Sus scrofa: one gene and its partners. The protein of the gene in region 4 purifies or fractionates together with the protein of the main gene of each other region. This does not show direct contact. Links are inferred from orthologs where the notes say so. Each region holds a gene or a part of one and is shown on either strand. Other genes may lie near its edges. The genes, in order: RFC1, ZUFSP, POLA1, RPA1, RFC2, TOP3A and HLTF.

Region 1 (3,500 bases), on a different chromosome or scaffold from region 4:
GCAGTATTTCCCTATCTTTGACAGTGTCTTACTTGTGATTCTTTTAGGTTTTACATAATCTGAGTATGTGGTGTGCACGAAGTAAGGCACTAACCTATGACCAGGCTAAGGCTGATTCTCACAGAGCCAAAAAGGATATCAAACTGGTAAAGTAAATTTCCGTTTCTTAGTTCCTTAACCAAAGCACTTCTCCTCCTGTCAGTATTAATAAAAATAGTTATCATAGTTCCTTGAGACACCTATGGATATTTATAGCAAGAGGTTTTTTTTGTGTGTGGGGGGTGTTTTTGTCTTTTCTAGGGCTGCACCCACGGTATATGGAGGTTCCCAGGCTAGGGGTCTAATCAGAGCTGTAGCCACCAGCCTATGCCAGAGCCACAGCAACGCCAGATCCTCAACCCACTGAGCAAGGCCAGGGAACCCACAACCTCATGGTTCCTAGTCGGATTCGTTAACCACTGAGTCACGATGGGAACTTCAGCAAGAGATTTTTGACAGCTGCTAAAAGTATTTTTGATTCAAGTGACTTTTTTCTTAAGGACTGTCAATGTAATTGTAAATTTTGAGAAAGGGACAGTTTAAATCATGCTCATGCCTTCGTAGTTATATAATGGCCTTTCTAGAATCCCTTATGTATAGATTTCATGTTTTGAGTGCTTTGTAGCTGTTCAGAATAATCTTGTTTCAAATGGTTTATAGTTTAATGACTCCCTGAAGCTAGAGTAAAGGTCCATATTATTTCTGTGTTCTGTTTCACCTAGTCACCAGTCAGAATTCCTCATTGCCATTAGAGCAATGATTAAACAGTGTTCCCCCCCCTCCCTCTTTTTAAAAAATCAGTAAACGTTTTTAGAGTTGTTTTAGGTTCATAGCAAAGTTGATATTTCCTGTATATCTCCTATCGCCAGTAGAATAGTATTCCCCACTACCAACATCCTCCATCAGAGTGGTACATCTGTCACAACTGATGAACCCACACTGACACATCATCACCATAACCCAGAGTCCATAGTTGAACATTAGGGTTTGCTCTTGGTCGTACATTCTCTAGGTGTTGAAATATACATGTGTAATGGCATGTTTCACTGTTGTAGTATCATATAGAACACTTTCACTGCCCTAGAAATCCTCTTTGCTTTGCCTGTTCTTCCGCCAGCCCCTGGAAACCACTGTTTTTTTTTTTTTTTTTTTTTTTTTAACTGTCTCCATAGTTTCACCTTTTTAAGAATGTCACATATTTAGAATCCTGTATGTTGCTTCTTCTGATTGGCTTTTTTCACATAATAATATACACTTAAAGTTTCTCCATATCTTTTCATGGCTTTATAACTCATTTCTTTGTAGTGCTGAGTAATGGTCCCATGTCTGGATGTACCACAGTTTATCCATTCATTCACCTATTGAAGGGCATCTGATTGCTTCCAAATTTTGGCAGTTTTCAGTAAAGCTGCTATAAACATTCAGGTGCAGGTTTTTTGTGTGTATATGTTTTCAGTTCATTTGGATAAATACCAAGGAGCACAGTCATGAGATGGTACAGTAAAATTATATTTAGTTTTGTAAGAAACTATCAATTTGTCTTCCAAAGTGACTATACCATCTTGCATTCTTACCAGCAACGACAGAGAGTTTCGGTTGCTCCACAGCTTAGCTGTCATTTGGTGGTGTCAGTGTTTGGATACTGGCCATTTTACTAGTATGTCCCTCTCTCTTTTTAGGGCCCATTTGATGTTGCCCGAAAGGTGTTTGTAACTGGAGAGGAGACTGCTCATATGTCACTTATGGACAAGTCGGATCTCTTTTTCCATGATTATTCAATAGCACCGCTCTTTGTCCAGGAGAACTACATTCACGTGAAGCCTGTAGCTGCAGGGTGAGTGTTCAGAGCTAGTGAGGGGTAGAATTAGTACCCTCCCAACCTTGCAAAGGCCAGATACCTGGGAGGGAGGGGTGTGGAGTGTGGACAGTAGTGTAATCCAGACTGGTTTATTCCTGCAGAGGTGACATGAAAAAGCACCTGATGCTTTTAAGCAGAGCAGCAGACAGCATTTGTGATGGTGACCTAGTGGACCGTCAGATCCGCAATAAGCAAAACTGGAGCCTTCTGCCCACACAGGTAAGCACAGGGCTCTCCTTAGAGCACAGACCCTGCTTTAGTTACAACAAGATAGGTTTTAGCTCCTGTAATTATTTGAAGTATCAGATAAACCTTATAGGCAAAAATTCTGTTAGAGATTAAAATACCTTGTGGTCACTGTTGACTTTTTTGTTTGTTTTGTTTTGTTTTTGTTTATCTTTTTTTACAATTGCACCTGTAGCATATGGAAATTCCCAGGCTAGGGGTTGAATCAGAGCTGCTACAGTCACAGACAACCCCAGATCTGAGCTGCATCTGAGACCTATGCTACGGCTTGCAGCACCTCCACATCATTATCCCGCTGAGCAAGTCCAGGGATTGAACCCGCATCCTCACCAACACTGTGCTGGGTTCTTAACCTGCTGACCCACAATGGGAACTCCCCATTTCTTAACATTCTTTATTTTTGAATGTTTTTATGTAAATGGACATAAGGAAATGGGAATGTTAGATTTTAGTCATAACTAAGATGGTGAGTCAAAAGTTTCATTTGCCCTGTTTTGCCTTAAGTATCCATTTCTTTTTTTGTCATTCCTGGCTTTCCCAAATTGTTACCAAGTAGCTCATCCTTGAGGAAATCAGGTCAGGAGCTGCTTTTCTGATACATAAATTCTGATTTTCTGTCTTCTTCTGTGCTAAAGAGGCAGCTTTATATCAGACCTTTTATTTAGGTTGATACCTTTTAAACAATAAAGAGTTTTGAAATTAGGAGTGTTATTTGTTCTTGAGTTTTGCATATTGATAGAGTATTATTGACCTGATTAACAAGTGAGGGACTTCTGGAAGTTTTGCTTTTCTTTTAAAGAATCTTTTATGTATTAAAAGTGTTCATTTTTATTTCATACCCAGTAATTATACCCATTAGAATTTGTCCTAAAGGAATAATGTTAAACACAGGATAAGCTTAATGTGTGAAAATACTCTCTAAAGCATTAATTCTTCTTTTATTTTTTAAAGTGCACATACCCGCAGCATATGGAAGTTTCTAGGCCAGGGTTTGAATCTGAGCCACAACTGTGACTTACACCATAGCTGCAGCAATGCCAGATCCTTTAACTCACCGTGGTGCTAGGTTAGGGATTGAACCTGAGCCTCTGCAGTGACCTGAGGTACTGCAGTTGGATTCTTTTTTTTTTTTTTTTTTTTTTTGGTCTTTTTGCCATTTCTTGGGCCGCTCCCATGGCATATGGAGGTTCCCAGGCTAGGGGTCCAATCTCAGAGCTGTAGCCACCGGCCTACACCAGAGCCACAGCAACTCGGGATCCGAGCCGCGTCTGCAACCTACACCACAGCTCACGGCAATGCCGGATCGTTAACCCACTGAGCAAGGGCAGGGTCCGAACCTGCAACCTCATGGTTCCTA
Region 2 (2,438 bases), on a different chromosome or scaffold from region 4:
CACACACACACACACATATAGACATACTATAAACTTTCCGTATATAGTGTGTGTGCAAATGTGTATTTAGAATATAAATATAGTCAGTCCCTCTGACATATAGGTTATCTGAGCTTTTCCAGTTCTAAGACACAAGAGTTTAGTTCCACTTTCTAACCTTCAGTTTTCCCTTGTCCAATTTTAGTTTTCTAAAGGCTTCATAGCAAAAAAAATTCTACTTCTACTATGCCATATATTTTAGTTTTGCTCTTCAAATCCCTTAGTCCTTCTAATTCAAATGATCTCAAATGAAAGGATTTGAAATTTACCTACTGGACAACAAAAGGTAAACAAGAGTAAATTTATATATACTAGAATTTCAATGGCAAGGGCTTAACCTTTATAGCTTGTATTCCAAAACAATGAAATTCCTAACATTTACTTCTTATTCCTGTCAATCCAAATAATTCATTCAACAAGATATATCAAATATCCATATGCCAGGCCCTACTCCAGGCCATTAGTAGTATAGATGTAAACCAAACAAATACTTCTGCCTTCATAGAGCTTATATTCTAATAAGAAGAAACACTCTAGGAGTTCTGTTGTGGCTCTGCAGGTGACAAACCCTACTAGTATCCATGAGGATGCAGGTTCGATGCCTGGCCCGCTCAGTGGGTTAAGGATCTCGTTTGCCATGAGCTGTGGTATAGGTCACAGACAAGGCTCGGATCCTGTGTTGCTATGGCTGTGGTGTAGGCTGGCAGCTGCAACTCTGATTCAACCCCAGCCTGGGAACTTCCATATACCACAGATGCGGCCCTAAAAAACAAAAAAACAAACAAAGAAGAAATATTTTATAAACAGGGTAAGTGAGGCTTATACTTATAATGTTAGATGAAGAAAAATAAAGTAAAGAAGAGGGATAGGACATGCCAGTGCTACAGGGTGAAAGGATAATGAGAAGAAATTTTTACAAAGGCGGTTAGGGAAGACCTCATTGAAGTAAGGTAAAGACCTGAAAAAGGTAAGGGATGAACAATAAAAGAAGAGTGAACCAAGTGGACCAGGGGGCCCCGAAGACGCCAAGGATACCATCCATTACTGGAATGTACTGTAATGACAATATAACTAAAAATCAAAGTGATGTCATAATACTCCTCTCCTCTCATTAGAATCCTAACCTATTCTGAGGCTTAAGCCAATTAATTGTCTTATAAAGATACTGTCTTGTAAGTTACACTTAATATCTGTAAGTTATACTAACCTTGATGCTGAAGATAAATAGGAGGTTTAGATGTACACACTACTTTTGGACTCCCCTCCCTCTCTGAAGAATAATAGTTCAATATCCATTCAAATAAGCGAGGGTGTGTACCCAAAGGACCAGTCGACTTGTGAAAGTCAATAATACGACACCTATAAAAAATTGACAAAAGGGGTTACTTAGAAAATATTAAAAAAAAAAAACATTTTCATCAGTGGAGTCACACAACAAATCCCTAATTTAGGATTAATTTTATCTCAGTATTATTTTTGTAAGAAGAAAGAAAATAAAAATTCTTTTATCTGAAAAACTTATTTCATGAGAAAATAGTTTAAATAAATTAATAAGGTTGATGACTGACACAAGTTATAAAAATTTCCTGACATATAAAATCTATATTAGTAGTAGGAGTTCCCATCGTGGCACAATGGTTAACGAATCCGACTAGGAACAATGAGGTTGTGGGTTCGATCCCTGGCCTTGCTCAGTGAGTTAAGGATCTGGTGTTGCCAGGAGCTGTGGTGTAGGTTGCAGATGCGGCTCGGATCCTGAATTGCTGTGGCTGTGGCATAGGCCAGCGGCTACAGCTCCAATTAGACTCCTAGCCTGGAAACCTCCATATGCCCCAGGTGCAGCCCTAGAAAAGGCAAAAAGCAAAAAAAAAAAGAAAATCTATGTTAGTAGTAAATGAGATCATACTTGATTTTCAAAAGTGTACATATAATCTTTAATTTTATTCTAAAGTCTCTAAACCAGATGATCAATTAGAAACTGAATTCTAATTATAATTCCTCGATAATCATTTGAAGCTATCAAAAATATCCTAAATATTTTTCCTGCCAGCTCTCTAAAATTTCTTATCTAATAATAGACAAGAAAAGACTACCCATAAAGACCATAGAAAAAAATCTTTATGTACCTGCATCTATACATCTATCTTCTATTTGGCAATAGACCATGATGGTATTGTTTTCTCAAAAGGAAGTCAACTGTGAATAAACCAAATTATTTTAACCAGAAGCACTATTTACACTTTTCAGCAACAATTTTGAAAAGGTTTAGTATAAGGTAAAGCAATTAAAAGCTTTATTCTTCACTTTACAATACAGCACACATATCTTATCCTTGTCCCTCCTGGTCAGAAAGTCTCCAAATACACCCAAACTATAATGGTTACTATCTTTAGCCTCAG
Region 3 (3,500 bases), on a different chromosome or scaffold from region 4:
ACCACAGCTCACAGCAACGCTGGATCCTTAACCCACTGAGTGAGGCCAGGGATCAACCCACAACCTCATGGTTCCTAGTTGGATTCGTTAACCACTGAGCCACGACGGGAACTCCCACTCTGCTTTTTTTACCTGCAGCCCATTAACAATGGGTAGAGGGAAAGAGCCAAAAGGTCATCACATTCTATCCTACACGCAGTACACAGCAGAGGGAAGGTCCAGTCCTCCCACGCTCCCCACGCATAAGAGATGAGGAAGAATAATTCTCTCTAAGAAGAAGCAGAGCTCAGCTAGACTGTTCAATACCTTGTGAGTAAAGTAAAGGCATCTCTAAGTTCCCCCAACAAAGCTATGGAACTTAGCAGAGATGCAGTGTGCTTAAAAATGAAAAATATATAGTTACTTTAATTCCAGATTTTTTTTTTTTTGTCTTTTTAGGGCCACACCCAAGGCATGTGGAAGTTCCCAAGCTAGGGGCCAAATCAGAACTGTAACTGCCAGCCTACACCACAGCCACAGCAACTCAGGATCTGAGCCAAGTCTGCGACCTACACCACACCTCATGGCAATGCTGGATCCTTAACCCACTGAGCAAGGCGAGGGACCAAACCCGAATCCTCGTGGATACTAGCCAGGTTCCTTACCACTGAGCCACAAGAGGAACTCCAAATTTCTAAATTTTAAAAGCATCTGTAAAGTGTCTCACAGGAACTCTAAGGGTTGAGTAATCACCCATCATCTAAATCTACTTCATGCCCATATGTGCTCAGTATTTAAAAATTACTGTTATAAGAAGTCTGAAATAAATGCATATTTCTAATGAGTGACAAAGTGGACAAAGGATTAGCTACAGGCTATGAAACAGATGAACTACAAGTGAAAAAAAAAAGAAAAATGGTTACTTACTTCATATTTATACTTCTCACCAGCTTTAGCCCTTTTCAGTCTTTCTAGAGCTTCCTGTCGCCCTTTCTTGGATTTCTTCTCTCGCCGGGATCGCGAAGCTGCAAGACTCCCTGAATCTGACATAGCTGTAGAAAAGCCAAATTTGCATGAGATGTTACAAAACTGTCAGCCATCTTCCCTCAAAAACAAAGCAATAGTTTTTAGCCAATAGTAATATACAATGTTCATGTAGTATACAATGTTCATGTTACACAAATGTATACTTTTTCCGGTGTAAATAATTTACAAGCTCAGGACTGAATCTCCAGTTCCCATGGCTCCTCAGAAATTTTCAGCTGAAGCAACAACTGTTATTTTTGTCCTCCAAAAAGAGAAAAACTCCAAATTCAACTGATATTCCCTGGAGACACTAAAGAAGGGAGATCAGTAACCTTTCCACTGGTGATGATAGCCCATAAGTAGCTATAAGAGGACAATTCATTTTGTATTCCATCAATAAACATTTGAAAGGCTTTAAGGAGCACCCTCTCTTTGCAAAGTACCAGGCGCTCTGCAAGACACAAAGGCAAGTTCGGGTCCTAGACCACCACCAATAAGGTGAGTGTCGCGATAGCAATAAAGTGAGTCACACGAATTTCTTTTTCTTTTTCTTTTTTTTTTTTGGTTTCCCAGTGCATATAAATGTTATGTTTACACTATACTGGAGTCTATTATGTGTGCAAAAGCCTTATGTCATTAAAAAAAAGTATATACCTCCATTAAAAATACTTTGTTGCTAAAAAATGCTCATCATCATTTGAGCCTTCGGTGACTTGTAGTAACATGAAAGATCACTGATCACAGACCACTCTAACAAATAATGACAAATCTGAAATGTGAGAATTACCAAAATTCGATACAGACAAATGAAGTAATAAGCAAACATCAATGTGAAAATGGCGCCAGTAGACTTGCTTCATGCGGAGGCGCCACAATCTTCAATTTGTTTAAAAAAAAAAAAAAAACCACAGTATCTGTGAACTGCAATAAAGCAAAGCACCATAAAACAAGGTAAGCCAGTAAGTAGCAACTAACTCTAAAACAATTTTTAGAAGTAAAGCATACCCTAACAAGAGGTTCAGATAAAATGTCTAGAATTTCAAAGGAAGGATAAATCAGGAGAATGTAACGAAGATGGCTCTGAGGAGATTCTTGATTCTACCACTGATTTCCAGGCTTCGAGCAGTTGGCTGCGACATTAGAGCATGACAGTCAAAAATTACAAAGATCAAGAAGTTCTCTTGTGGCACAGTGGGTTTAGGATCCAGGTGTTGTCACTGCCGTGGCTTGGGTTTGATCCCTGGCCTGGGATCTTCCACATGCTATTGGCATGGCCAAAAAAAAAAAAAAAAAAAATTACAAAGATTAAAATCTTTTGTGGAAAATTAGTGAAGTACCCGAGGGCCTCAGTGGTCATTCATTCAACTTTTGAATTATTCATGCTTTTGATCATCATAAACACATACTGAAAAGATTTCATCCACAGAATGGAGACTTTCACATACCAGCTGGCGAAAAATCAAGTCAAGCAAGACAGTGCCGCCTGGCAGCCATGAGTTGATGCTCACCACGACTGGCACATAAGTCTGAAATTGAGTGTCTTATTGTACTTGGTGCTATTATTTTATAAAAAAAAAAGAGCACAGAAAAGGGGAAGTATTGATAACAGGCATCCTAAAAGCTCCAACCCCACTGGAACGTTCATAACAACATGAAGCTGTTTGACTAAGTGTTTGAATGAAATAGAAGATGCAATTTACAGACATGTACCAAATGCTGGCAATAAACTGTTGAAAACCATATCTTAAAGGTGTGGCATAATTAGAGATCCTATTTTTTTCCCTAGCTTTCTGGAAATGGAATCTCTTTGTAACATCTCAGCCTATTGTTTGACTTTCACATTTGACTTTTAAATCCATTTTCAGAAAGGCATTAAGTAAAAATTAAAGAATGCAGGTACTTAATGCTGACAGCCACAAAATCTTGGGTGTCACTCAAATGATTTCAAAAAATTATAAGCAGGCTGACACAAAAAGGCTCCAGGAGATTACTGAACAAGACCACTGAGAGGGAAAAGTTGGCCTCAGGGTATTCCCTCAAGACGCCCTGGACTCTTTTATCAGATTATTCTGACAAAATTATTCTACAGGTCTTCAAAAAGACTTACTCCACAGGCAACAATGTGCCAGTCTAAGGGTTTGGGGTACAATGACAAGTAAGACAGAGCTGCTGGTCCTCAAGGGACTCCCAGTCAAGGAAAGCATAAAGGCCTGAGGCTCCCACCATCGTATAAAGATGGTACCATGTAAGAGGTAAGAACCTGGTATTAAGGAAGCAGAAAAGAAAGCCATTAATGTTGCCTGGGAAATCAGAGAAAGCTTCACAGGGGAGGTTTCCAACACAGAATTTCACCATCAGAATACAGAGCGACAAGCGGCACAAGCAAAGGAAAAGGCATGAGGCAAAGCACAAAGGGATGAAAATGCAAGGTGTATTCAGACAGCGAGAGGAAGCCAATGCAGAAGGAAAGTTGGACAGGAGAGCGAAGAGTGAAT
Region 4 (3,500 bases):
CATTAAAGATCCAAGGATGATGGCTAAAGCCCTATTTGGAAGAAACCTGGTTGTTCACAGGCAGGTTCTCAGCAGGGGTAGGAAGGAACACAGCACATCAGCGTGCAGAGGTGGTGGAAGAAGGCAAAGCCTACGAGAGGGGAATTCCACCCATGACTAGAGAGAAAGGGGCCCGAGTTTCTGCACTCAACTCCAGCAAAGCTTTCCTCTCCCATAACCATGCCCTAGAGGACAGAAAAGAGGATAGAAAGCACCACTTGAGCTCTCCAAGGCATCCTGGAGTGGAAGATAACAGGTCCCAAGTGGGGAGGTTGGCAAGGAGACATACCCAGCCTAGACGATGTCAGAGCAAATATGAAGTCTAGCTGGAACTGCCCACATTAAACAAGAACACGATAAAAAGAAATGACGCAGCAACAATGCCAGCACACCACAGTGTATAAAAATAAAAGGCAGAGACAATTAAGAATCCAATCTAGAAGAAAGCATTAGCCAAGAAAGGGAATACGTCCCAATCACAGCTTGCCAAATAAGACTAAGAATTCAATAAAAGTCAAAAGATGAAATGAAATGAGATTGAGAAGAAAAGGGAGCTTGAGACATTAAGGAAAAAAGAGAAGAAAAGCAGTATCATTACACATCTAATCCTTAAACTATAAAAACCCAAGGAACAGGGAGTTCCCGTCGTGGCGCAGTGGTTAACGAATCCGACTAGGAACCATGAGGTTGCGGGTTCAGTCCCTGCCCTTGCTCAGTGGGTTAAGGATCCGGCGTCGCAGTGAGCTGTGGTGTAGGTTGCAGACGCGGCTCAGATCCCGCGTTGCTGTGGCTCTGGCGTAGGCTGGTGGCTACAGCTCCGATTCAACCCCTAGCCTGGGAACCTCCATATGCCGAGGGAGCGGCCCAAGAAATAGCAGCAACAACAACAACAAAAAAAGACAAAAAGACAAAATAAATAAATAAATAAATAAAAACCCAAGGAACAGAACAGAGGAAGCTAAAAACCGAACAATACAATATGTTGGACAATCTTAAATTAATCCAGCGCATACACTAGAAAAGAGAGCAAACCGAAGACATCTATGAAGAGCAAAGGTATCCACCACATAAGCAGAAACTGGAACTCACGTGAAAGAAAATGAACTGAAAAGGAAGGCCGGTGATCAAAGAGGCAAAAGTGAGCGAATAAACAATGAGTAAATCTAAATGAGCACAGACTATATAAGAGAAGGTGCTAATTGGGGGGAGTAAAAACAAAACTGAAGGAAAATACTGAGCACAGACCCTGTTAAGGCCTTTGCTTTATTTGGGAGGATGGTAAAAATACTATTTTTGTAATTTTGTTAATTCCAATATGGATTTTTTTTTTTTAAATGTTGAGAGTAATCACAAAGAAAACACATAGAACATGCAACTTTTAAAAGAGTAGAGGAAAAAAGAATTAAGGCAATGCAATCAATCAAAGGAGGAAAAGACAATGAAAGTATAGCGAGACTATGGCAAGACCAAAAAATTGGGGCGGGGGGTGGGGTGGGGGAGATCCGTAATAAATAAAGCAGAATAAACTCACCCACTAAATCTCAGATGGAGTTCTAAAACTCAACGCTGTTTATAAAAAACATCCAAGATGAACAACAGCGAGGTTAAAAGTTTCAAAAGAACAATGATACATCAAACAAATACAAGCAGAAAAAGTGAATGTACATCTAACGTAACATACATCGATACCCTCATGAAGATGGGCGTGCTGGCCGCACTGGCTGCTCACCTGTTTGGGTTGTGTTTCATAACTCAATCAAAAGCTCGAGGGGAAAAAGTGAAAAGTAAAGCCTCTCCCCAACAAAGAATGTCATATTTCAGCAGTGGCTGCTCAGGTGTGATTAACAGTTCTCGTCACCCCTGTATCTCTAACATGTAGCCTCTTGTAGGTACTCAGCATACTCTCTACTGGCCGAAGAAAGCCTTTGCTATGAAAGATTCAGGACTGCAAAAAAGGGGCAGTGTTACATCATTATCTCTTTTTGCTCTAATAAGTGACCTCTTTTTATCAAAAGGTACTTTAAGAGAGAATCTAAAACCAGTGCTGCTGAAGAGACTAGAAATAAGAGTTCCGCATTCGGCTTTAGTTTTCTGCCCAGGTTGGTTCCATTTCTTTCCTCTTGAGGCGTGCCTGGTTGTTGGTAGCCTGAGTTCCTAATTCAATAGCTAAAAATTCTTAGCTAAAGCCCACCACTGCCTTTTTGATTCCTAATCGAATTTGGGCATTGAATGAACCTCTCTGTTCACAAATTGGTCCCCATTTTAACAACGCGGCAGGAAAAAAACCTACCACATACCTTCCATCTTTCAAGGTGTTCACAATAAATCGGTTAATCTGGCAAATACAGTTGCTAGACAATCGTTCTTCCTCAACAAGAGGATTCAGCTGTGTCGCCAACATGAAAGCTGCAAAGCACAGAGATTACTTTAGTCGCGAAAACATTTCCGTTGTGACAAAAGCTGGTGACACCTGTACCAGCAAAGAAAAACAATGCCTGAAACATGTTCCTGAAATTAAACCCCCAGATTCTGCACATGAAAAAGGGCATCCATTTCCTGCGCATTAAACATCTGCTACTACTCTGAAATTCAGTTATTTCCTAAAGTGCCCCAAATCACCTTTTCCAGCATTCAGGTTGCATGACGAAGCCTCATCTTTTTTCTAGGTTCTTCACCTTGTGACTAGAGAGAGCAAGCATATATTCTGCAAATTTTCTTTCTCCCTGTAAAGCTTCCAACATACAAATAAAACCCCAGAAAGACAAGTATAGGACAGCTAACCCATCATATTCACTAAATGTCAATATCGTCCTGAGGGAAATTAATCAAAGAAAACACAGAGCACCAGTTAGAGAAAATTAATTAAGCCAAGTGGCAGCTTTCCACTGGACCCAGTCTATTGCTCGAACGCTCTCTGCCAGCCGCAATTCTGCCTGTGTGAAGGCAGAGCCAAGCAAGTGCAGACTTCTGGAATGCTCTAATTACGGCAATCTAAGTGTTGGGTGTGCTTATATTATTTACATACAAATTCCCAGATTTACGCATTATACGTACAGGACAGCGTATTCAATCCATCACTCATAAGCAGTCGATAACGGGGTGGATTGTTCCCTGTGGTAATGGGACGGATGTTCTAGGAGAGAAAACACGCATTAGCCAGGCTGCCTGCCCAGTCCCCAGGGACGAGTAAACCTAAGCGGCAGGAGAGTGGGTTTGCCATTAGCGCAACAAAAACTGAACTGCTTGCCCATTCTCTTGACACCTAAATCCAAGGGAAAGAAAATTGGACGTGATGATTCTCCCACCAACCTCTTCTCCAAGAACACTGTTAAACGCAGCAGAGACGAGAATAAGTTGCCAATATTGTTGTATTCTCTCTCCCCTGACACAAATCTGACTGAAAATCAATTTTTAAAAAACACACAAGGCACATAATGTATGCAAGGAACGTGGAGGGAACA
Region 5 (3,500 bases), on a different chromosome or scaffold from region 4:
AGGTGACTGCAGGTTTCTTCAAGGCACATAAACTCACAGGAACATGTCCCTTGAAAGTGTGTGCGCGCAGAGAAGGGGCGGTCACTTCAGTGCGGAGTTACTTAAACGGGAAGAAGCTTGGGGAGATCCGCCAGGAGAGTGCAGGTCAGGTGTTCGGGAGGCCCTGGCAGGGTTAGGAGAGTGGAGGTGGGTGAGGTTCCAGGGAAATTTTGTGAAGGAGGATCAGAGGTGGACTGTACTGTGATGTCGGAGGCGGTTGAAGGTGATACCTCTGGGCGGGCAGAGGCGACAAAACATCCTGAGGAAGGCCAGCGGGGCAGAACAGGGTCTCGGGGGGACCCCCCTCCTCCCCCAGGACTTGAAGACACTTGTCGGTCTGAACCGAAGGTCAGAGACAGCTTCCAGAATTCTGCATTCGTCTGTCTGTAGTTCTCAGGGGTATCAGAGCCTCCCGTGGGACCTTAAGCCCTGAAGGTGCCCTGTTCTAGGCCGGCTGGGTTGTGACCTGCCCAGAAGGGCCAGCTGTACACACATGCAGTGATTCTGAGGTCTGGCCGGGCCGGCACTGACCCTCCTGTGGGCTGTGGCATGTGGCTCTCTCTATCTGGCGGATCTTTTCTCCTTTGGGAAGCCATTGCCAGCCAGGGTCAGCCTGGGCAGTGCTGGCTGAGGCCTCTATTGGTTGGTATTTTGAAATTTAGCCCTAGAGTTCCCGTCATGGCGCAGTGGTTAACGAATCCGACTAGGAACCATGAGGTTGCGGGTTCAGTCCCTGCCCTTGCTCAGCGGGTTAACGATCCGGCGTTGCCCTGAGCTGTGGTGTAGGTTGCAAACGCGGCTCGGATCCCGAGTTGCTGTGGCTCTGGCGTAGGCCGGTGGCTACAGCTCCGATTCAACCCCTAGCCCGGGAACCTCCATATGCCGCGGGAGCGGCCCAAGAAATAGCAACAACAACAACAAGACAAAAGACAAAAAAAAAAAAAAGAAATTTAGCCCTGATGACCAGGTCACGCTTAAGTCTCTGCCAGGTTGGGGGAGTGGTGCCAGCATGGCTGGGCCGCATGGTTCGTGCACCTGCTCCCCAGTAACTAAAGGACCAACAGGGTTACGCCAGCCTTGGCCCGGGAAGCCTGACTCTCCCCCATCTTATCCAGAGCCCATCCAGTCCCGGTGTGCCGTCCTCCGCTACACCAAGCTGACCGACGCCCAGATTCTTGCCAGGCTGCTGAACGTCATCGAGAAGGAGAAGGTGCCGTACACGGATGACGGCTTGGAAGCCATCATCTTCACCGCCCAGGGCGACATGAGGCAGGTTCGTGCCCCCACCCCGGCTCGGCGCCCTCAGGCTGGCCACTCCCCTGGTTTAGATGGGGGAGAGGGTAGTGACTGCTGCACGGAGAGGAGTGTAGCCAGACGGGACCACAGACCCAACACGTTGGTAGGGAGCCCGGCCTGAACCCCAGAAAGGGAGACGGGGAGGACAGAGGTCGAAGGTCACCCTTGCGTGCTTCTGTTCCTTGGCAGGCCTTGAACAACTTGCAGTCTACTTTCTCGGGATTTGGCTTCATCAACAGTGAGAATGTGTTCAAGGTAAAGGCTGTGCGGGCCTCACTGTCCACAGGGCCAGTGTCGGCCTGGGGGGCGGAGCCAGGTGGGCTGCGGGGCCCGCCCCAGGGAGGGGCTCAGGGAGCTACTCTGCCCCGCCCCCCGGGGAGTGGGAGGGACTTAGCCGAGGGATGTGCCCCCGCCCCTGCAGCAGGCCCGGTGCCCTCTGTCCTCTTGGGTCCTCATGACCTCCCTCCACGCAGGTGTTCTTAACATTTTGCAGCAGAGGAAACTGGCCTCGAGATCACACTAAGGCTGGGGCCCACCCAGGACAAAGCTAGTTTCTATTCCAGGAGGGAGATTGCCCCCCAAACCTCCCAGTTCTTAAGTGGAGTCTCAGAACCCACTGGGTGAGTGATACTCCCAGTGCTCTAAGCAACTCACGACTTTAAAGCTGCCCCTGGAGTTCCCGTCATGGCACAGTGGTTAACGAATCCAGACTAGGAACCATGAGGTTGCGGGTTCGGTCCCTGCCCTTGCCCAGTAGGTTAACGATCTGGCGTTGCTGTGAGCTGTGGTGTAGGTTGCAGACGCGGCTCAGATCCCGCGTTGCTGTGGCTCTGGTGTAGGCGGGTGGCTACAGCTCCGATTGGACCCCTAGCCTGGGAATCTCCATATGCCGCGGGAGCGGCCCAAGAAATAGCAAAAAGACAAAAAAAAAAAAAAAAAAAAAAAAAAAAAAGCTGCCCCTGTGGTGTAGACTCCTCGCTGGCTCTTACTCCATTTTGCACTTGAGAAATCTGTAATGATGCTCTCGGAGGCTTGTCCTCTCTGCAGCAGGTCTCCACCGAACTCTCTTTGGTGACAACTTGGTGTTGAGAGAGGTGTTCCCAAAACCAGTTCTCTTGGCCGGAGAACTCAAGGCAAACAGCCAGTGCAGTTGGCCACATAGGTTGCCCAGACGTGGGTCTGCCAGGGCTCGCCCTCAGATGGTCCCCCGCAGCCCCTGACCAGCCTTTCTGTTCCGTCTGGCCAGGTCTGCGACGAGCCCCACCCCTTGCTGGTGAAGGAGATGATCCAGCACTGCGTGAGCGCCAACATCGATGAGGCCTACAAGGTCGGTCCCCCTCCTCCCTGAGCAGGGCAGCGGGGGTGCTCCCTGTGCTGGGGACCTAGCTCCACTGCATTGCTTTTTGTTTTTGTCTTTTTAGGGCTGCACTTGAGGCATATGGAGGCTCCCAGGCCAGCGGTCGAATCGGAGCTGTAGCTGCCAGTCTACACCACAGCAACAGAGGATCCAAGCCGTATCTGTGACCTACACCACAGCTCACGCCAGATCCTTAACCCACTGAATGAGGCCAGGGGTTGAACCTGCATCCTCATGGATACTAGTCAGATTCGTTTCCACCGAGTCATGACGGGAACTCCTCCACTGCATTCCTAAATGAGGCTGGGCGCTGGGCACGCTCTGCAGGTCAGAAAACAGACTCAGAGGCCAGACCCCATGCTCTAAATCCCACTGCTTAAACTTAATATACTTGCATCCCTGGCCTGGGGAACATCTGCACGCAGCAGGCACAGCTTAAAAAAAGATTAATAGAGCCCTCTCTCTTCCTGAAGAGCCTGGGAATGGGCGCTCTGGCCCCAGAGCCTGGTCTGGTGAGCCGATTCCAGTGGGCATTTTTGGGGTTCAGGTGATGCTCCAGTCCCCGTGGGCGGCAGTGCTGTGATCTGGGGCTGTTGGTCTGATCACAGCCCATGCCCTCCCCCTCCCGCCACCAAACTAAGCTAGGAGTTGACTGGGTTTAGGACAGGGCCAGACCTCACATGAAACCGGGGACAGGGTACTCGGCCTGAAGGAAGCCAAGCAAAGGCACAAGCAACCCCCGCCCCCCAGAGTCTGCTATCGGAGTTGGGCGGCTGAGGGTTGGAGCTGGGCTGGGGTTGAGAAGGCA
Region 6 (3,500 bases), about 12 Mb from region 4:
GAAGCGAAGCAGCTTCTCGAACGGGTCCGTCCCTCGTTGCGTGCGGCCCGGGGGTGGTGAGCCGACGGCCCTTGGACCCGCCGCCTCTCTTTCCGCAGTGAAGCCCGACCTGCCGGTGCTGCGAGCCCGTTTCTCCGAGATCACCTCCCGGGCCGTCCAGGCGGCCTGTGAGAACCTCACGGAGCCTGACCAGCGAGTGAGCGACGCCGTGGACGTGAGGCAGGAGCTGGACCTGCGCATCGGTGAGGGGCAGCGGGCTGGCGGGGGGCGCGGGCTGGGGCGTGGACCGTGTCGCTGGATGTGACCGCACCGCCCACCCCTCCTCCCAGGAGCCGCCTTCACCAGGTTCCAGACGCTGCGGCTGCAGAAGGTCTTTCCCGAGGTGCTGGCAGAGCAGCTCGTCAGCTACGGCAGCTGCCAGTTCCCGACGCTGGGCTTCGTGGTGGAGAGGTTCAAAGCCATTCAGGCCTTTGTGCCCGAGGTCTTCCACAAGATCCGAGGTGAGGCGGCCCTTTGTGCAGGGCGTGGGGCCGGGGCGTCCCGGGGCTGACTCAGAGGGCGGCTTGAGTCTCGCTGCCTCTCGGCCCCTCGTCTCCACGTTCAGAGCCCGGGGGGGCTCCCGGGTCGCAGTCACTGGCTCTGACCCTGCCGGACCTCCTCGTCCCCCCGCAGTGACGCACGACCACAGGGACGGCGTGGTGGAGTTCAGCTGGAAGCGGCACCGTCTCTTCAGCCACACGGCTTGTCTCGTCCTCTACCAGCTGTGCATGGAGGTAGGAGGGCTCGGGGCCCACCCCCCCCGAGTCCGCAGCCTCGCCCTCGCTGGCGGCGGGGGGACCCGTCCCTCTCTGAACTGAGCTTTCAGTTTCATCCTGGGTCGTCCCTTGGGCACCAGTCAGACTAGAGCCCCAGGAAAACAGCACTGAAGGTGGGGAAGAAAGGCCTCTGGGACTTCAGGCAGAACCAGAAACACTAGGAAACGTGTGGCTAAGATCCTGCCCGGAGCAGCAGCGCACGCCCACCGGGGGTGGGGAAGGGCCCGCCAGGCCCTTCTAGACCCGGGCTCGGAGCTGGAGGGAGGCTAGACTCCCTCTCCCGCTGGGCGGATGTCGGCTCCGGCCACGTGGACGGCTTCCTGCAGCGGCTGTGTCTGGAAAGGAGGCTGAGGGAGCCGGGGGGCGGGGGCGGGGTGGGCCTGCTCAAGGGCCGGGGACGCAGAAGGGCGCCCCGGCTGACCTGGCAGAGCCCAGCAGGAGGCGGCCACGGAGGGATGAAGGCCTTCGGCCACAGGCCAGCATCTGGTTTCCCCGCAGGCGGCCTGCTTTGCGGTGCTGGTCCGTCACTTTGCTTGTTGCAGCCTGTTTGACCCAGGGCTGTGCACGGCGGGTCCTGACGCACTCAGAGGTGTGTCGTCAGGAGCCCCGGCGGGTCCACTGTGGAGCTGGGGGTGGGCATTGAGCGCCTGCTCCGTGCTGTGCACTGTGTGTTCTGTCTCATCTGCCCCAGGTCGGGGGTGGGGGGGCGACCCATTTTACAGGTGGGGACGCTGGAGACGGTGGAGTGTGGAGTGAGCACAGACACACCGGAGCTCGTGGGGGGCCTCTCGGGAGGCACCCTGTCTCCCCCGCTCTGCCCTGTAACCTGGAGGGTCACACGGCCTGCCTGTTGGTGACCCTGCCGGAGCTGTCTGTCCTGTAACCAGGCCCGCCCTTTGTGTCCTTTGCTGGGATGCGGTGCAGGAGGGCGTGGCTGGGGGACACCTGGAGCTCCTGGCCGGGGCTCCGTCCCCAGTCTGCTTGTGGGGGGGAGATTAGGGTTCTGACGTATAAACCCCTCCATGAGCACATCACCTAAGCTGAGCCCCGCCCATGTGTGTTCTCTCCAAAATGTGAGGAGCTTGGGCTTTTTTCTTTTTGCTTTCTAGGGGTGCACCTGCAGCCCATGGAAGTTCCCAGGCTAGAGGTCCAGTCAGAGCTACAGCTGCTGGCCTACCCCACAGCCACAGCAACGCAGGATCTGAGCGCGTCTGCGACCTGCACCACAGCTCACAGCCACGCCGGATCCTTAACCCACTAAGTGAGGCCAGGGATTGAACCCACAACCTCATGGTTCCTCGTCTGATTGATTTCTACTGTGCCATGACGGGAACTCCTGAGGTTGGTCTTAAGATTAGGGTTCTTCAGTTGTATTATGTAACTTCTGTTTCTAACCCGTATTATTGGATTTAAAACGAAAAATCAGGAGCTCCCATTGTAGCTCCGTGGTAACAAACCCAACTACTATCCATGAGGACTCGGGTTCGATCCCTGGCCTTGCTCAGTGGGTTAAGAATCCGGTGTTGCCCTGAGCTGTGGTGTAGGTCGCAGATATGGCTCAGATCCTGCGTTGCTGGGGCTGTGGTGTAGGCTGGCAGCTCCAGCCCTGATTTGACCCATAGCCTGGGAACCTCCATATGCCACAAGTATGGCCCTGAAAAAAATAAACGAATGAATTAAAAAAACAAAGCCGTGACAGTGAGCAGGTGTAGGTGAGAAGCCACACTTAAGGGGCGCCTGGCTCCAGACAAGGAGCTTTGGGGCTTTTGTGAACTTGCTTTGACCGGGAAGGCAGCACTGGCGTCCGACACCCACCGGGCTCGAGGCCGTCACCCCGGGTGGGAGCAGGGCCTCTGGGGCAGTGCTGCGGGCAGTGCTGGGAGCAGGGCCCCTGCGGGCCATGTGGGGGGCGGTTGCAAGCAAGCCGGGGAGATGCTCCAGCAGGTCCCAGCGGCGCCTGCGTGTTTGGCTTTTCCAGGACCCCAGGGCGACCGTGGTGGAGGTCAGGTCCAAGGCAAGGAGCAAGTGGAGGCCTCAGGCTTTGGACACTGTGGTATGTTCGGGGCCGTGCGGCCGGGGCTGATGTCGTGGTTGGGACTGGCTTTCCGGGTGTCAGGAGGCGTCACTTCTCAGTGCGACACGAGAACGCGCTTGGGAAAAAGAGATGCTGAAGCCCAGGCTGCTGGCCTCTTAGTTACCTCACGACTTCGGGAAACGTGGAGACAAAGCAGCCGTCACTTGCTGTCCTTAGGTCGTTGCTGATGGGGTGGGTGGCTCCCCGGGATCCTTGTTTTTACAGCGTCAGAATTGGAATGGCTAGTTCTTCCCACCCAGGCATCTTTTAAAAATGTTTTTGTTAGAGGTCCCCTCGTGGCTCAGGGGTTAACAATCTGACCAGGAACCATGGGGTTTCGGGTTCGATCCCTGGCCTCGCTCAGTGGGTTAAGGATCCGGCATTGCCATGAGCTGGGGTGTAGGTCACAGACAAGGCTCGGATCTGGTGTTGCTGTGACTGGTGTAGGCTGGCAGCTACAGCTCTGATTTGACTCCTAGCCTGGGAACCTCCATGTGCCGCGGCAGCGGTCCAAGAAATGGCAAAAAGACAAAAAAAAAAAAAAAAAAAAAAAAGTTTTTGTGTAATTTACGTAAATATCACTTAAACAGCCACTATGTGAGCCTCCCCTA
Region 7 (4,215 bases), on a different chromosome or scaffold from region 4:
TATATTGGTACATTTGCAATTTTATCTTTCAGTCTGACGAACATAATTTATTAACTTTACACATAAATCATTTTCAATTTAGGCATTTACTGCCGTATTTTCCAATAGATCGGTTATTTAGATCTGGCACATCAAAAACTGAACAATATTGCCTTTTGCCTCATACTACTTCCAGAAGAAAGTAAAATAACTAAAATAATTTGAAATGCCATTCTCTTCATCTTCCTTCTATTTAGTGAAATGAATAAGTTGCTGCAAGTTTCTTTTCTCATTCTACTGTAGGTTCATATTTACAGATTGTGATAGTTTAAGTTAATCAACAAATGCCTCTTGAAAAACTGTTTCATTGACTGCCTGTCATACCCTGCTGATGGACGTGTAAAATGGACCACTCTTCGAAGGGCACGGGTCAACACTAACCCCTTTCTCAAATACATTTCCTCTTTGGTCCACAAGCAGTTGTGTTACAGTTATATCAAGTCCAAAGCACAGGTCAGGGCCACCACCAGCTTGTTACCCTAGGGCTGCTGCTGCACAAGTTAAAAGGCTCCCAGGGGACAGAGAACCAGCCCTGACAGCGCCTGCGCTGCAGCCGGCCCACTCGCCCACCCACTCAAAGCCGAATTCTCCTGAGTCTCCTCAGACTCTCAAAAGAGGGCGACAGAGCCCTTGGGAGTGCCCCCTACAGTTCCCCACGGAAAACCAACTTCTTCCTGCCCCGCAGGGACAGCAGCTTACCCCCAGGGGAAACTTGGCCACTTCCAGCAGTCACCAATAAAGCTCTTGTGCTGTCATCTCATTTTATGGCTTTCCTCTAGTAGAATGAAAAATTTCTCTTAAAAAAGAGGTGGGGGGTAGGGACTCCATAAATCGAAACTGCAATTATGCTCTCTGAGGCCGGTCTGTCTCATTGGTTAGCTAGCGGGGTTTAAAATGCACATTTTAAGGGCAACTACACGGGTTCACCACAGAAGATGAAGGACAGGATCTCGTTGGTAGCTCCAGGGCTCTTAAAGCCGGGAGCTTATTCAGTGGAATACCCTACTATATGTCACATCAGATGAAGAGAAAATTCGAGGTAGGCTGAGGTAGAGCCTGAAGAATGGGGCTGAGGCTTAGGGCTTGAGGGAAACAGTGCAAAAGACAGTGGTCGCCCTCTGCTTGAGGCGGGGAATCAATCAGAAACGCGAACACCGTAAGCACCGTAGTCCGCCTGCTGGGGCCGCGTGGCTTTCCCGCGCGACTAGCTTGGGGTTGAGGGAGAACCCGGATGGAACCGCCCCTGCAGCGGGGACAGCCCCCCAAGTCTTTGAATCGCTGCGCGGGGCGGAGCTGCCCACCCCTCCGTGCCCTGATTGGTTCGTCTGCGTAAACTCCTCCTCGGGATTGGAGGTAGGCGGTGCCAGTCACAAAGCGTCACTTGTCTCTCAGATTGTTGCTGGAAGGGGTCGGCGTCGACGTCTGACTAGGCTCCCGGCGTCTCACCTTTCTGGAGTGCGCTCTTGCTCGCGGCTCTAGAAACCTGTCCCCGGCTTCTCGGCCGCGGGCCCTGGAAGGAGACTTATCGAGGCCGCTCGAGAACGATCCCGGGCGCCCAAGCGTTCCCCTCGTCACCCACCCAGCGCCATGTCCTGGATGTTTAAGAGGTGAAGGGGGCGGAGGGGGTTGGGCACCGGGGGTAACGGCCTGGCGGCGTCCCTAGATGAACCTGACCTTCCCCGCGTTTCCTTCGCGTTACCCGTGCGAGCTGTGCAGCCAGTGTTCGTCCTGCTGGCGGCTTTTAATAGCTGCGGGAGAAAGAAATGCACAGTTTTGACTGGCGAGGGGAGGCTCCTCAGGCGAATCTCATGCCAGGGCTTGGGGAAATTTCTGTCAAGGGCTGTAAGGGGGCCTGGCTCAAAGCCACACTCTTAGGCCGGGATTGTGACCTGCAAGACACTCATCAGATACCCACTGTGCCCTCGGCATTGTGCTCGGCAGAAAGGGCCGGATAAGACAGCCCGTATCCTCAAGGAGCTCACCGTTGATGTGCGTGCACAGACGTGCAAATATCTATCTGCAGGGGAGCCAGAAGCAGTATGCGCGACGTGCAAGCCAAGCGCTGGGGAAATAGCGTCAGTCCGTTCTTAGGATAATAGAAGCTTCCTGAAAGCCCCCTCTCCGGCTTCCTCTCTTCATTGTCCAAATTGGGTTACATACCCGTTCCAGAAACAGCTCTCCAATTATCTATGGGGGAATTGAGGTTACCCTTAAACCAAGGGAGGGGAGGCTTGATGTCAGCTTCCCATTGTGACATGGTTTGGATACCTGAATAAAATGCGGGGTCTCTTCGAGGAGAATTCACGTAATGGATGTTGGATGTATTACTTGTAAAGTTATAAATGGCTTCATGTATAGATAGTCCTTTATTTGCAAGTCTCTTCCAGCTCATTCTCTATTGAAATTTTGGCATATAATTATTTGCAGACATCACACACATTTTACTTTAAATAGGTGATCATCACTAGGAAAGAGGTTTGTGAACCCTTATTGGGGTTTTCACTTTGAGTACCTGTGGGCAGAAGAGACATTATTGAACAGGTAGGTAGGGTTTCTAGAAACCTGTACTCACTTTAATCCCTGCTTTAACCAGAGGAACTATATATATTAATCTTCATATAGCCCTTCCCACATGAGATTTAATTTTTTGAAATGAAGTGTGAGAAAACAATTGGCCTTTAAGTGTGGTATAGTCTTTGAGAAATATTTGGTTAAATATTGTATTGTTTTCCTGTTTTTTGTTTTTGTTTTGTTTTGTTTTAAGAGATCCTGTTTGGAAGTACTTGCAAACTGTCCAGTATGGAGTCCATGGAAATTTTCCACGCCTCTCATATCCAACTTTCTTTCCACGTTTTGAATTCCAAGATATTATTCCTCCAGATGACTTCCTAACGAGTGATGAAGAGCTAGATTCAGTTTTATTTGGTACTTTGAGAGGTCATGTAGTTGGACTACGCTATTACACAGGAGTAGTGAGTATAATATTAGATACTAAGTTTATATGATGTCATCTATTAATGTAGAAAATAAGAGTGAGAAGGTGATATGTGCAGTAAATATCTTAATTTAAGTAATTGAAATATATCTAGGGAAGAGATAACAAATACCTAATTACTTACATTCTTTTACATTTATATCATGGTCACAATATACAAAGCACTGTTTCCTGTATGGTCTCATTTGATCACTAGAGTGTCTCTGAGGTAGTAGGACATCTATTATCCCTTTCTAGAACTGAGTAAAGGTAGCTCAGGATGGTTAAATGATTTGCATAGAAAGTACAGATACTATGTGGTAAATTTGCAAAATAACTTCCAAGTCTCTTGCTTTCTCCTTTCCTATCCTTCAGCACATTTTTACATTTTAGTATTTTTAATGTAGGAAGTACTAGACAAGAGAATTGTCTACTTTTAGGTCTTTTTTTCCTTTCTATAGTAAAACTATTTCCAATTTTTCTTCCTGCGTTTATGTTTCTGTATCTCTGTTTTCTGCTCTGTGTATGTGAGAGAGAGAAAACAGAGACAAAGAGAAAGCAGTTGTCTTTGTTATGGTTGTCTAGTATGCTCTGTGTTATTTGGATGATATATCTACTTTTATTTTTATTTATTTATTTATTTATTTATTCGTCTTTTAGGGCACCTGCAGCATATGGTGGTTCCAGGCTAGGGGTCGAATGAGAGTTGTAGCTGCTGGCCTACTACACAGCCACAGCAAAGCCCAGATCGGAGCCACGTCTGCGACCTATGCCACAGTTCACAGCAGCGCCAGATCCTTAACCCACTGAATGAGGCTAGGGACTGAACCCGCAACCTCATGGTTCCTAGTCAGATTCATTTCCAGTGCACCACAACGAGAACTCCTACTTTTTTTTTTTAATTATGAAAAATTTCAAACATGCATAGAATTAGAATGATACAATGAATTTTCATATACTTATGATCCATATTCAGCAGTTAGACAAGTTTTTTGCACATTTGCTCATCACTTTCTTTTTCTTTGGTACTAAAAATTCCAGCTGCATCACTTTACAACATTTAAGTGTGTACCTAAAAAATTTAGAAATTTTCTTTCTCATTGTTATATTTAACAAAATAATACTAGTTTCTATTACACCTAATAACTAATCCATAATAACTTATCTTGATTGTTTACAAATGCCTTTTTATAATTAATTTT

What was found.
Region 1: the proteins of RPA1 (region 4) and RFC1 purify together in Homo sapiens (affinity purification with mass spectrometry; 3 studies listed by BioGRID, with this or other methods). This does not show direct contact. The link is inferred for Sus scrofa from reciprocal best matches to the Homo sapiens genes RPA1 and RFC1.
Region 2: the proteins of RPA1 (region 4) and ZUFSP purify together in Homo sapiens (affinity purification with western blotting; 4 studies listed by BioGRID, with this or other methods). This does not show direct contact. The link is inferred for Sus scrofa from reciprocal best matches to the Homo sapiens genes RPA1 and ZUP1.
Region 3: the proteins of RPA1 (region 4) and POLA1 purify together in Homo sapiens (affinity purification with mass spectrometry; 3 studies listed by BioGRID and IntAct, with this or other methods). This does not show direct contact. The link is inferred for Sus scrofa from reciprocal best matches to the Homo sapiens genes RPA1 and POLA1.
Region 5: the proteins of RPA1 (region 4) and RFC2 purify together in Homo sapiens (affinity purification with mass spectrometry, with the first as the bait; 3 studies listed by BioGRID). This does not show direct contact. The link is inferred for Sus scrofa from reciprocal best matches to the Homo sapiens genes RPA1 and RFC2.
Region 6: the proteins of RPA1 (region 4) and TOP3A purify together in Homo sapiens (affinity purification with mass spectrometry; 4 studies listed by BioGRID and IntAct, with this or other methods). This does not show direct contact. The link is inferred for Sus scrofa from reciprocal best matches to the Homo sapiens genes RPA1 and TOP3A.
Region 7: the proteins of RPA1 (region 4) and HLTF purify together in Homo sapiens (affinity purification with mass spectrometry, with the first as the bait; 4 studies listed by BioGRID). This does not show direct contact. The link is inferred for Sus scrofa from reciprocal best matches to the Homo sapiens genes RPA1 and HLTF.

What each region holds. Positions count from the first base shown.
Region 1 is NC_010450.4:30,562,933-30,566,432, reverse strand, and holds part of RFC1 (replication factor C subunit 1), read left to right. Parts: intron 1-47; coding exon 48-146; intron 147-1,718; coding exon 1,719-1,873; intron 1,874-1,998; coding exon 1,999-2,116; intron 2,117-3,500. UniProt on the Homo sapiens protein: Subunit of the replication factor C (RFC) complex which acts during elongation of primed DNA templates by DNA polymerases delta and epsilon, and is necessary for ATP-dependent loading of proliferating cell nuclear antigen (PCNA) onto primed DNA.
Region 2 is NC_010443.5:44,956,942-44,959,379, reverse strand, and holds part of ZUFSP (zinc finger with UFM1-specific peptidase domain protein), read right to left. Parts: intron 1,399-2,438; coding exon 1,247-1,398; intron 1-1,246. UniProt on the Homo sapiens protein: Deubiquitinase with endodeubiquitinase activity that specifically interacts with and cleaves 'Lys-63'-linked long polyubiquitin chains. Shows only weak activity against 'Lys-11' and 'Lys-48'-linked chains.
Region 3 is NC_010461.5:20,759,674-20,763,173, reverse strand, and holds part of POLA1 (DNA polymerase alpha catalytic subunit), read right to left. Parts: intron 1,032-3,500; coding exon 907-1,031; intron 1-906. UniProt on the Homo sapiens protein: Catalytic subunit of the DNA polymerase alpha complex (also known as the alpha DNA polymerase-primase complex) which plays an essential role in the initiation of DNA synthesis.
Region 4 is NC_010454.4:48,016,152-48,019,651, reverse strand, and holds part of RPA1 (replication protein A 70 kDa DNA-binding subunit), read right to left. Parts: intron 3,173-3,500; coding exon 3,094-3,172; intron 2,446-3,093; coding exon 2,337-2,445; intron 1-2,336. UniProt on the Homo sapiens protein: As part of the heterotrimeric replication protein A complex (RPA/RP-A), binds and stabilizes single-stranded DNA intermediates that form during DNA replication or upon DNA stress.
Region 5 is NC_010445.4:11,375,691-11,379,190, reverse strand, and holds part of RFC2 (replication factor C subunit 2), read left to right. Parts: intron 1-1,154; coding exon 1,155-1,312; intron 1,313-1,524; coding exon 1,525-1,590; intron 1,591-2,581; coding exon 2,582-2,662; intron 2,663-3,500.
Region 6 is NC_010454.4:60,454,183-60,457,682, forward strand, and holds part of TOP3A (DNA topoisomerase 3-alpha), read left to right. Parts: intron 1-98; coding exon 99-242; intron 243-329; coding exon 330-500; intron 501-672; coding exon 673-773; intron 774-2,793; coding exon 2,794-2,868; intron 2,869-3,500. UniProt on the Homo sapiens protein: Releases the supercoiling and torsional tension of DNA introduced during the DNA replication and transcription by transiently cleaving and rejoining one strand of the DNA duplex.
Region 7 is NC_010455.5:89,330,215-89,334,429, reverse strand, and holds the start of HLTF (helicase-like transcription factor), read left to right. Parts: upstream 1-1,415; 5' UTR 1,416-1,626; coding exon 1,627-1,646; intron 1,647-2,803; coding exon 2,804-3,011; intron 3,012-4,215. UniProt on the Homo sapiens protein: Has both helicase and E3 ubiquitin ligase activities. Possesses intrinsic ATP-dependent nucleosome-remodeling activity; This activity may be required for transcriptional activation or repression of specific target promoters.